Caenorhabditis elegans: one gene and its partner. The protein of the gene in region 2 interacts with the protein of the main gene of each other region in a pairwise test. Each region holds a gene or a part of one and is shown on either strand. Other genes may lie near its edges.

Region 1 (4,783 bases), on a different chromosome or scaffold from region 2:
TTCAGTTGATTTCATTGGTTTTCATCCGAACATTCCTTTCGTTCTTGCATGCAAACTGATCTCCAGATAAAGATAAGGGAATTTGCAAGGTCATCTTGGTCCGCATTACTTTCCCGTTGCATTATCCTCTTCTCTTTCCGTAAACAATTCTTCCGACTAATTGAACCTTTCTCCCTCACCTATTCCCTCTAATTCTACCCGTCTCTCTTATTCACTCTCGTGTTAACGATGACCGCCGTTATAGAATCAAATACTCCAATCAGTTGTTATCACAACTTACCCGATTAAGAAAGGAGTTGCACCATTTTGTGAACGTCTTCTTCTGAATGTGCACACGTTCGTCCTGCAGTGTCCGAATGCGTGATCTTTCAAAGTACAGTGTCTCATTATTGAACTCGTCTTGATCTGTTCCATTGGCATCTGCGCGAACTGGTGGTGCACCACTTGTTGGAACACGAACCTGAAAAAATCATTATGAACTTGATGCTAATTGAACTGTTAAATATTTCTAAACGTTCTCAGTTTTTTTTCGGATCTTTAAAACTTTCCAGAATAATATTACGGAACCAAAATTGTTACATATAAGGAAAAACAAATATTTACTAGCTCAGCGTCTTTCCGTTTTGACAGCATAGCCTTCCTAACCGGGAGAGACGCTTGCCGACCTTAATGATAAACAGAAATAACATAGAGTGTATGAGAGCACGTCAGCTGACTACTTTAAGAAAATGAATGATCTCCAAATGTTCATGAGTCATGAACAATTTATAAAACAAAAAAACAGCAACTACCTGTTCTTCAGGTAATGTTCTAACACTTGGGGTTGGAGATGAAGCTGTTGATTTCATAGATATTGAATAAATTAACTTTTTCGGCATGACTTTTAGAGCAAATATAAACAACTACTACAATCTGACAAAAATATTAGATGTGTTGGCTTGACTATTGGCAAAATTGGGATTTATGTTTCAAACGCGTAATCGGATTATCTTAAAATCCAATCATAATAGGTTTAAACATTCATTTTCGATCTACAGGTTGATGCTACTTTAAAAAGCCTGTCTAGTTCATAAATATAAACTTGCCTGCATTTCGTATTTTCTCATTTTGTCTTCAACGTTGTCTTCAGATACACCGTCGTTCACTCCTTCGCCGTAATACTCGTGCTTCTGATGTTGGTGATAGTCGCGGTACTGGTAGGGTTTTACTTCCCCACTCGATAATCCAGTACTGCTCGTCGCCTGATAGTCGTTCTCCGGTAAAGGATCTCTAGGTGTTCTTCGCAAGTGATCGAAGTCAACGTTTTCGCGACTTGGGGCAATCTCCTTGCGATACCCTTCTACCTTGTCTGAAAAATATACATTTTAGTTGATAAATTTGAAAGTTTCTTGAGTAGTTAAGTGACTAATAGATAGAGAAAAAAGAAAGACAAGTTATATATACATTTCTGAAGAGAATAATGATCAAAATGATATGCAACAGAGACGCCCACGTGGCACAAAAAAGACAAAGATTATTAATATTTGGAATCACATCGTTTTTCAGAGAAAAAGTTTGAACCTAACTTACAATTAAAACGGGAAATTGTATCCAGCAACAAAATACTTTCAAGAAAAGTGAAAGATTTTTGAAATAAAGAAATGTTTCGCCGAACATAAACAGTGAAAGAGTGGCACACGTGGTACACGTGGCATTCCTATGTGTGCGACTATTTTCTGTGTGTGTGGGCAAAGTTCACGTAATAATGTTCACGTGAAATATGACTTATTAAGAATTTGTACGTCGGATGTCGTACGACGACGCGACACAAACAAAGTTAGTAATATTTAACTGGAATCAGAAAAGGCTTACAAAAAAGAAAATGGAATAATTGGAAAGCTTTTCGAATGAAATTTTTTCTGAGAAAATGTTGGAACTATTCTGCAATTAAACAAAAAAGAGACGTGTTTAGCAATCGCTATAAATGTCCAGCAAAAAACATTGACAGATTAAATTTCAAGTAAAAAAGCAGAGAAAGTTCGAAACGTCACGAAAATTTTCAAAATTTTAAAAGTAAGGTATATTGTGGAGGTGGGGGCGTTCCCCGTGTTTATTACATCTGATAACAGCGTCTTATCACTGCGAAAAAGAAGAATGAGTCACTGAAATGTGCTCCGCGGGATGGTTGCTGAACTCATTAGTAAAGACGAACCCAGGGGGCAAAAAGTGAGAACAGAAAATGGATTAGACAACGGAGGGAATGCTATTGGAACTTTGTTTATTTTAGTGAAGCAATCTGTCACAGCATAGAGATCCCAATAAGACAGATACATAAATATCTCATACTTGGTAAATTGCAAATCGAAATGACACAGAGGACAATGATTCACTTTAGAATAGCGACAAAAATATGTGGAAAGAGAAAAAGTACTAAATTGTATTGACACTTCAACACTACCACCTATCACTGTGCCCTTTTCCTTCACGGCTCTATGGACGCTCTACTGATGGTATGCAGTGTTGCATATTTACCCTCTCGCCACTTCCATATAGAGAGAACGAAGAAATAAAGAGAGAAAGGAATGCAGCAGACTGTGAGAATGTGCAAGAATGCATATAACACAACAACACCAAAATTAGCAATATTCATACAATTTTTTACTTCGATCTATTATATATTCAAGCGCCAAAATTTAGAAGACTACTTAACACAAATATAAAAATTTAGAAAATTTGTTTGCAGAAACTAATTTGCACCTACTTTGATGTGCCCAAAATCAAATTAATAATTTCAGAATTTTTTTGAAAAACTTATTACAAAGAATTTAAAATGAAAGAGCACATACCATTGAGATTTCGAACTGTTTTGCCTTCTCCAGGCGAGTAGCTTGCCGCGAACGACACATACGACATGATAAAGCTTCACAATATTAGCAAGAATATATTATGTATATAGCAAAGTCGAAAAATAGTAAGTGGTAGTATTTCCTCCGTTATGAACAGTCTTGACAATCCGTGTTCGATTCTTGTCAGATATGGAGAAAAAGGGTCAAGGAAACACGGCGACACTCGGACAGTAGCCGTGGTGGTTCCTCCTCAGTCTTCAGAAGGTAACTTCTTATATAATCTTTATCTCTTCTGTGTTCAATTGCAACGACGTCCGGCGTTCGTTTATCCTTTGCCGAGTCTCTCTATACAATACTATCCGAATATGATGAGAGAGAGAAAGAAGTAACGGAGAAAGTGTCGGAGACGATTAGAAGACATCCATCGATCGGCGCGATGGATAAAAAGTATCGAATATGTGTATTCGCCTGACGGGAAAAGAACGGAAGGAATGTTCAGCGGCGGCAACAATTGAGTGGTGGCCGAAATGGGCGAGAAATCGAGGATTCCGGTGGCGGAAATTGACAAACACAAAAATAGCTGACCGCCACAGTGGGGCACTTGAGTTCAAACATGTCTGTTTCAAGAGCCAGGAAGAACACCGCTTTTTGTTCTTATCCATGAGCAGCCCACTTATTATTATAGTTTTTTATGATTTCTTGTTTATTGTTGACAATATTTGTTGACTTCTAGAAAAAGACATCATACATGTTCTTGTTCAAAGTTTTGGCAAATTGCCAATTTTCGAAAATGTCGGTTTTTGGAAATGTTTAAAACAATGCCTCATTTTTGGACCTATAAAATGCTTAAAACATAATCCAAATATGAGAATATTAAAATGTTTCGGACTACTTCAAAAATTATGAGTGGAGGACATTTAGTTATTTTGGTGTTTGCCTACAAAAAACTTTTTCAAATAAAAGTCTTATTATGATATTCGTATATTATTTTAGGGAGAGTTTCTGATAGTTAATCCCACTGGAGTTACTTTAAACAGGCATGACAGGAATATGCACAGGCAACTTAAGAATACTAAGTATCTCTGAACAAACGAAAAACTTTAATTACTGTAAAACTTCTAGTTATTCAGAAAATTATTTTAGAACAACTTTTCGACAACGCATATGGATCAATTCTTCAAGGAAAAAACACACCCATTTCTAGGAATTCAATCTATTCATTCAACGCGTGTATACGTTTCCATTTGTGTACTTATGATGAGTTGAGTTCGTCTGTCAACACGGATGCGTCAGAGTTGACGCATTTCGTTGAGGTATACTTGACCATAAACGCCGTCATATTGACAATGATATTGGCATGATTTATGGACGGGTAACAGGTCGACAGGTGTTTTGGGAAACAACTTTTGAAAAGAGAATGGAAATGTAGATAAACAGAGCTGTACTCCCGACTCAAACATTTGCCGAAATCTGAAGCTGACAAAATACGACTAAGTTTCTTTCACAATCGTGTAGTTTACAGTAAAAAAAATCTTTAAAAGAGTACTGAATTTTAACCTACAGTCAACAAACTTTTTGTGGCAAAGAGGAACAGAGAACCAAACAATTCCACGACAACCATAAAAACTGCGAGCCAAAAAATCAAGACTTTGAAAGGATGATAAAACAGTGAGAAAACACACATATTTTGGCAGAAGGCAGTGAAATGAAACGGACAAGAAAAACGTAGGTCTCTCCTTTTTCAAAAGAAAAGTTTCTTTCACCACCTAATTCAGTGTATCTAGTTGTCCGATCAGTCGAATGAAAGACGAAATCTCGACAAAACCGACACCGACAGTCGTCCACTACCACCTTACAAGTAGTATTCTTTACTTTTTTGAAAAGTGGAAGTGTGAGAATGTAAATGCGATAAGTTTCGTTTAGTATTAGCGAATAGGAGAAAGAGGCGAAGTGCGCAT
Region 2 (5,053 bases):
TATACTGGAGAAGTATATGTGTTATTTTTTCGCGCCGCGATTACAGAGTTCTGTTCTGATTTGGAGGAGAGAAATAATCGAACCTGAAAATATTTTGTTGGGAAAACGTTATAATTATTTCCATATAAGAATGACTCGAGCATAGTCGTTCCTGATACTGATCCATTTTTACATTTTTTTTTTAACCCCAACTGACTGTCAACTTGAGAGGTACATATTCAAAATTAAACGAAAATTTTGCCAGACATGACGATTTAAAATTTTCAATTTGAGTTCAAAAATTAACTGCTTCGGGGAGAAGAAAGCCTAGTGATAATTTTGGATTTCTCCCATTTATTCAGTACGTTTGGCAATGTTTTTTGTAAAATGACGATTCCAGGTTTCGGCACGATCGAAATAATTTTAGATGAAGTGAGGGCAGAAGAGCGTGCACCTTTTCGAGGAATGTTATGACTTGATTATTTTTTAGCGCGGTGGAAAGTGAGGAGAAGAGGAAAAATCAAATAAAATTGAAAAAAAAACTGGGAAGTGATTTCTACAGTACCCCTTAAAGGCACACACCCTCTTGTGTGATGTTTGATATGAACGATGTTTCAATCGTGCTGAGACCTTCAAATGTGGATTCATGCATCAAAAACTTGAATATTTTCCCAATGACATTTTTTTTAAAACTAGTCACAATGAAAGTTCAATAAGCTGCCTAATCCATTCTGATGAAAATGTGCTTTCAGTAAATAATACTTATTATGTTCAGAAAATAACTTTTTGAAAAATTACTTCGAAGTATTTCAACCAGAAAACAACAAGTTTTTATAAAACGCTGAAAATTGTTTGATTTTCAGAACTTAAATAAATTTTTTGAAGCGTCAATAACTAGTGTAATAAAAATTAGGATATATGCAGAGATTGAAAATAATGCAGTATTCTGACGCCTAGTTGTTCACAGATCATCTGTGATTTTTAAGTTCGCATAACCCAGTTCAGAGTGGAGAGCAAATGCGGTGGAAAAGAAGATCAAAGCCTATAAATATCATATAATTCCTAATTTTTCTGGTGTTGAAAGGTGATTGGAACATATTTTATACAAATTCAGTTTGGTTATCTCGTTACGAAGTCTACAGTAACTTTGGAAATGCTACCGTAACCTCAGCGTCTATTTTTGACGTTACGGCAGTAATTTACAGTTACTGTAGACTTCGCTACGAGATATTTATTGAGTCAAATATTCTGCACACTTTCATTTTTCGATGTGGTAATTCAAAATAGAGGTTCAACATTACATTCGCTGCAACCCATAAAAGTTACATGCACCTAAAATGTTGTTGTTTAGGATGGATTCGAAAAGTTTGAACTTGATGCCGCTTTTGAGATTGTTATTTTCTCCTTGTTGTGAGGTTCATATGTCGAGTGTATCGCGAGATATTTGTCTGTGATTCAGGAGGAAAAAATAAAAGTTTTTCGCTAGTTTTGAAGTTAAAACTGTTATTCAATTTCGAATCTAGCAAAGAACACGAAAATGCTATATGAATTTTCCGTTTCAAGGTTGATATAATTGTTGTTTTACTTTGAAGTAGTTTGTGATGTTATCCAACTATTAGAATTAACTAAAATCATTTTTCATTTTTTGTGATATAAAATGTTATATGCAGATTTGACGAAACACTGTTCATTTTCAACGTAAATGTTGAAAAGGTTTGGAAGTGTATATTTTCCTTATCAGTATTGAAATTTTTCATCCGGAAAGTCGACATTTTTTAGAGGCCTATTGTACGATCGCTAAAAATGGGAAGAACAAAGGATGAATTAGTTTTTCGATACCGAATAGTTTCCAATCTACCAAAATTTTAAAATACTATTGTTAACAATTGTTGAACAGTACTGAATGCCAATAGGCATTCATTTCTGACAATCAAAAAACTGGGTCTGTTTCTGAAAAATCGTATCCACAATGTTCAATTTTCAGCATTTCGCGTGATTACAAAAGCTACAAATACAGTTTTAAAAAAGATTGCTGTTTTCTCGTTCACCGAAAAAGGTCAGCCACAAAATACCCCTTACAATCTTTCATGATTAACAGCAAGCCAGAAAATTGTCAATCTAAATTTGTTTTATTAAATCCATTTAACTATTCTCTTGTGTTCTGTGGAAAATGTTTTCTTTTTCAGAAACCGGCATATAGTCCGAAAAAGTGCATTACTCCATTATCTGCTTTTTGATGAAAATTCGGATTTTCAACTTTAGTATGTACTTCTTCTGTTGGAATTAGTGTACCCTGTTTAACTGTATTTTAGATACATATGGAGAGATGTTATGTGTGACGACAATGATCAGCAATCAGAATCGGAGTCATTCCCGCTGCGTCCGCGTGGTTTAAATTATTTTCCTAATATTCCATTACACAAATTTAATAATAACCAGGAAAGTTCAGAGTCGGAAATAATAATGTCCATCATATAGCTAAATTAAACACAAAACATTTTTAAATGTTCTTCGCTTAATTGGCAACACTTTTCTGCTATTAAGAGCGTTCAAAAAACTAGGTGGCCGCTTTGCATTCACTAGAGAAACATATAACACGTGCAAGCACAGAAATATTTTGATTATTGTAAGACCAGACTGCAATCTTAAGCGTATATCATACACTGGTTCACTAACAAAACAACTATATACTTGTAGAAGAAACTATACAGAGTGGATCAGTTCAGGAAGACGTGGATCGATTTTCTGAATACCCCAACACAAACCTCAGCCCCGTGAATCATCAACCGATCTTTTGTCATTGCAAGCCTCGCATCATCATCGGAAGAAAATCCGACGAAAACTTCTCCCTCGTCTCCGCCAATAATATGCACAGCCCCATCAGGAATTTTCAAACCGGTGAAAAATGTACGGACATCCGAAGCGCCTGCCGTCATCGGCAAATTTTTCAGACGGATTATCACCGACATCCTCGTCAAAAAATGGAGGATATATCAAACTCCTAACTTTAATTAGTTCGCTTCAAATCTGGAATGAAATATCAGCATGAGACAATGAACTAAATTGCAGAAATATAGAATGACAATAAAATTCAGAGAGACGACGGCAGGTGACCATTTTTTGCATATTTTCACCTTGAAAATAGATATACCTTCAGAAACAAATCTTTAGAAAACAAAAAACCTAACTGAAACTATTAAAAATTCGCTGAAAACGTGTAAAAACCGAAAATATTGACTAACGAGAGCAAAAATCGACAAGAAAAAAAGCTGCTACGCAAAGCGTTGCGTGCGCGTCGCGTGTCAGTAAATTCGCTCCACTGCGAATTTAAAAACAGAAAATGGCAAATTATGCAATTAATTGCAATTTTTAATGGATTTTTCAGGTGGAAATCTAAATGAAATGAACGATGAAATTATTGCGATCACTCAATTATGGAACTCTATGCAAACTATCGACTTCAGCGCAATCCTTGAAAAAATCTTCCCGACTTCTCAAAAAGCAACCGAAGAATAAGATCTCTCTGACACCAAAATTTTTGGACAATGTTAGAGAATGGCCGAAGATCTTTGAAGCAGAAATCGAAGCGCAATTTGAAAAAGTAAAAATCTGAATCGGGATCAAAAATATATTATATTTTCAGCTTGATGAGATGATCCGGAACAAAGTAGGATGGAGAGTGATCGAAGAACGTGGGCTCTGCGTTGGGAATCTGATCGTGACTTCAAAATATTACGATTCATATTGTGGAGAGGTAATTACCCTATCTGGTGACGCAATTTTAAGAACGAGATGGCTTAAAGCAGGAACTCCAGTATTGTTGAACAAACTGAATGAAGATGGTCATTTGCAAAAAGTGTCCGATGGGCATGTCGTTGATTGTACTGCTGGAATCGTGAAAGTATGCGCTTACGACGATAAAAATGTGGATTTCTCAACACTCAATTACATTCTCACTCCATCAACAAACAGCGGAGCTCTAAAATTTCTTCAAAGTGTAATTAAGTATGGTGGCTACCGTATACCAGACTTGAAAATATGTATTCAATTTTTCAGGAATCCATCATCATTATCCAGTGATAGTGTCCATTTAGTCAATCTCGCCTATCGATCAATTCCAATGCCCTCTATTCATGGTATTTTCAAAGAAGTTGAATTCTCCTCAATTAAAAGTTTTCAGACAGAAAAATTGGAAATCTTCCGGAAACACTCAATCCAAGTCAGGTAGCAGCAGTTTCAGCAGCAATGAACACACAAAGAAATCTATTATGTATTCAAGGACCACCAGGAACTGGAAAAACTCGTGTGATTGCTGAAATTGTTCATCAACTGATGAAAAAGAAAAAGAAAGTTTTGGTTTGTGCCCCAACACACGTTGCTGTACGGAATGCAATGGATGCAACCACGGGAAGAATGATTGAAGAAATGCCTGAAGAGAAAGCCGAACAGCGTAAGAATTTGTAATTTTTTTTTTCAAATATCTATACTTTCACAAGAATATCCTTGAAAAAGTTAAATTTAACTTCTGTAAAGCCAATATTTAATTGTATGTTGTTTCAGAACTGTGCCTCCTCGCAAACACGAAAGATGAGTTTCAAAACCACAAATCCGCTTCAAAGTTAGAAGAAATCAAAAAGCAACTTGTAAGTGAGTGTTAATCATCCCTATCCTCAATAATTTTAATTTTCAGTCAACAATGAGTACATCCGATCCTCTCTATAAAAAGATGTCATATGAATACTATTTAATTCGAAATTCTATTTTTCGAAGTATCTTCTATCCAAAACTTGCTGTTTTCTCAACATTGGGAACATCTTCAATTCAAAAACTACCGGAGTATCATTGGAATGCAGATGTCATGATTGTTGATGAAGCTGCACAATGTACGGAACCTGCGACTTGGGTGCCAGTATTAACCACACCATCTTGTAAGAAACTCATTCTTGTTGGAGATCAGAAACAGTTGCCTGCCGTTGTTTTATCAGACAAGTGAGTTTTCAAAAATGTCTAGTTGAGTTTGAGGATATCCAAAAATTATTTCAGAGCGATGAAAGGCAACTTCAAGCTTTCCCTG

What was found.
Region 1: the proteins of rbm-12 (region 2) and sma-1 interact in a two-hybrid assay, tested with the Caenorhabditis elegans proteins (one large-scale study listed by BioGRID).

What each region holds. Positions count from the first base shown.
Region 1 is NC_003283.11:11,897,673-11,902,455, reverse strand, and holds the start of sma-1 (Spectrin beta chain), read right to left. Parts: upstream 3,008-4,783; 5' UTR 2,893-3,007; coding exon 2,826-2,892; intron 2,549-2,825; exon of another isoform or gene 2,377-2,548; intron 1,349-2,376; coding exon 1,086-1,348; intron 461-1,085; coding exon 281-460; intron 1-280.
Region 2 is NC_003279.8:10,120,414-10,125,466, reverse strand, and holds the start of rbm-12 (RRM domain-containing protein), read right to left. Parts: upstream 3,009-5,053; 5' UTR 2,949-3,008; coding exon 2,745-2,948; intron 84-2,744; coding exon 1-83. Other genes in the region: Y106G6D.5 (Helicase ATP-binding domain-containing protein), read left to right, coding at 3,389-3,580, 3,623-3,984, 4,036-4,115, 4,160-4,429, 4,540-4,622, 4,670-4,968, 5,023-5,053.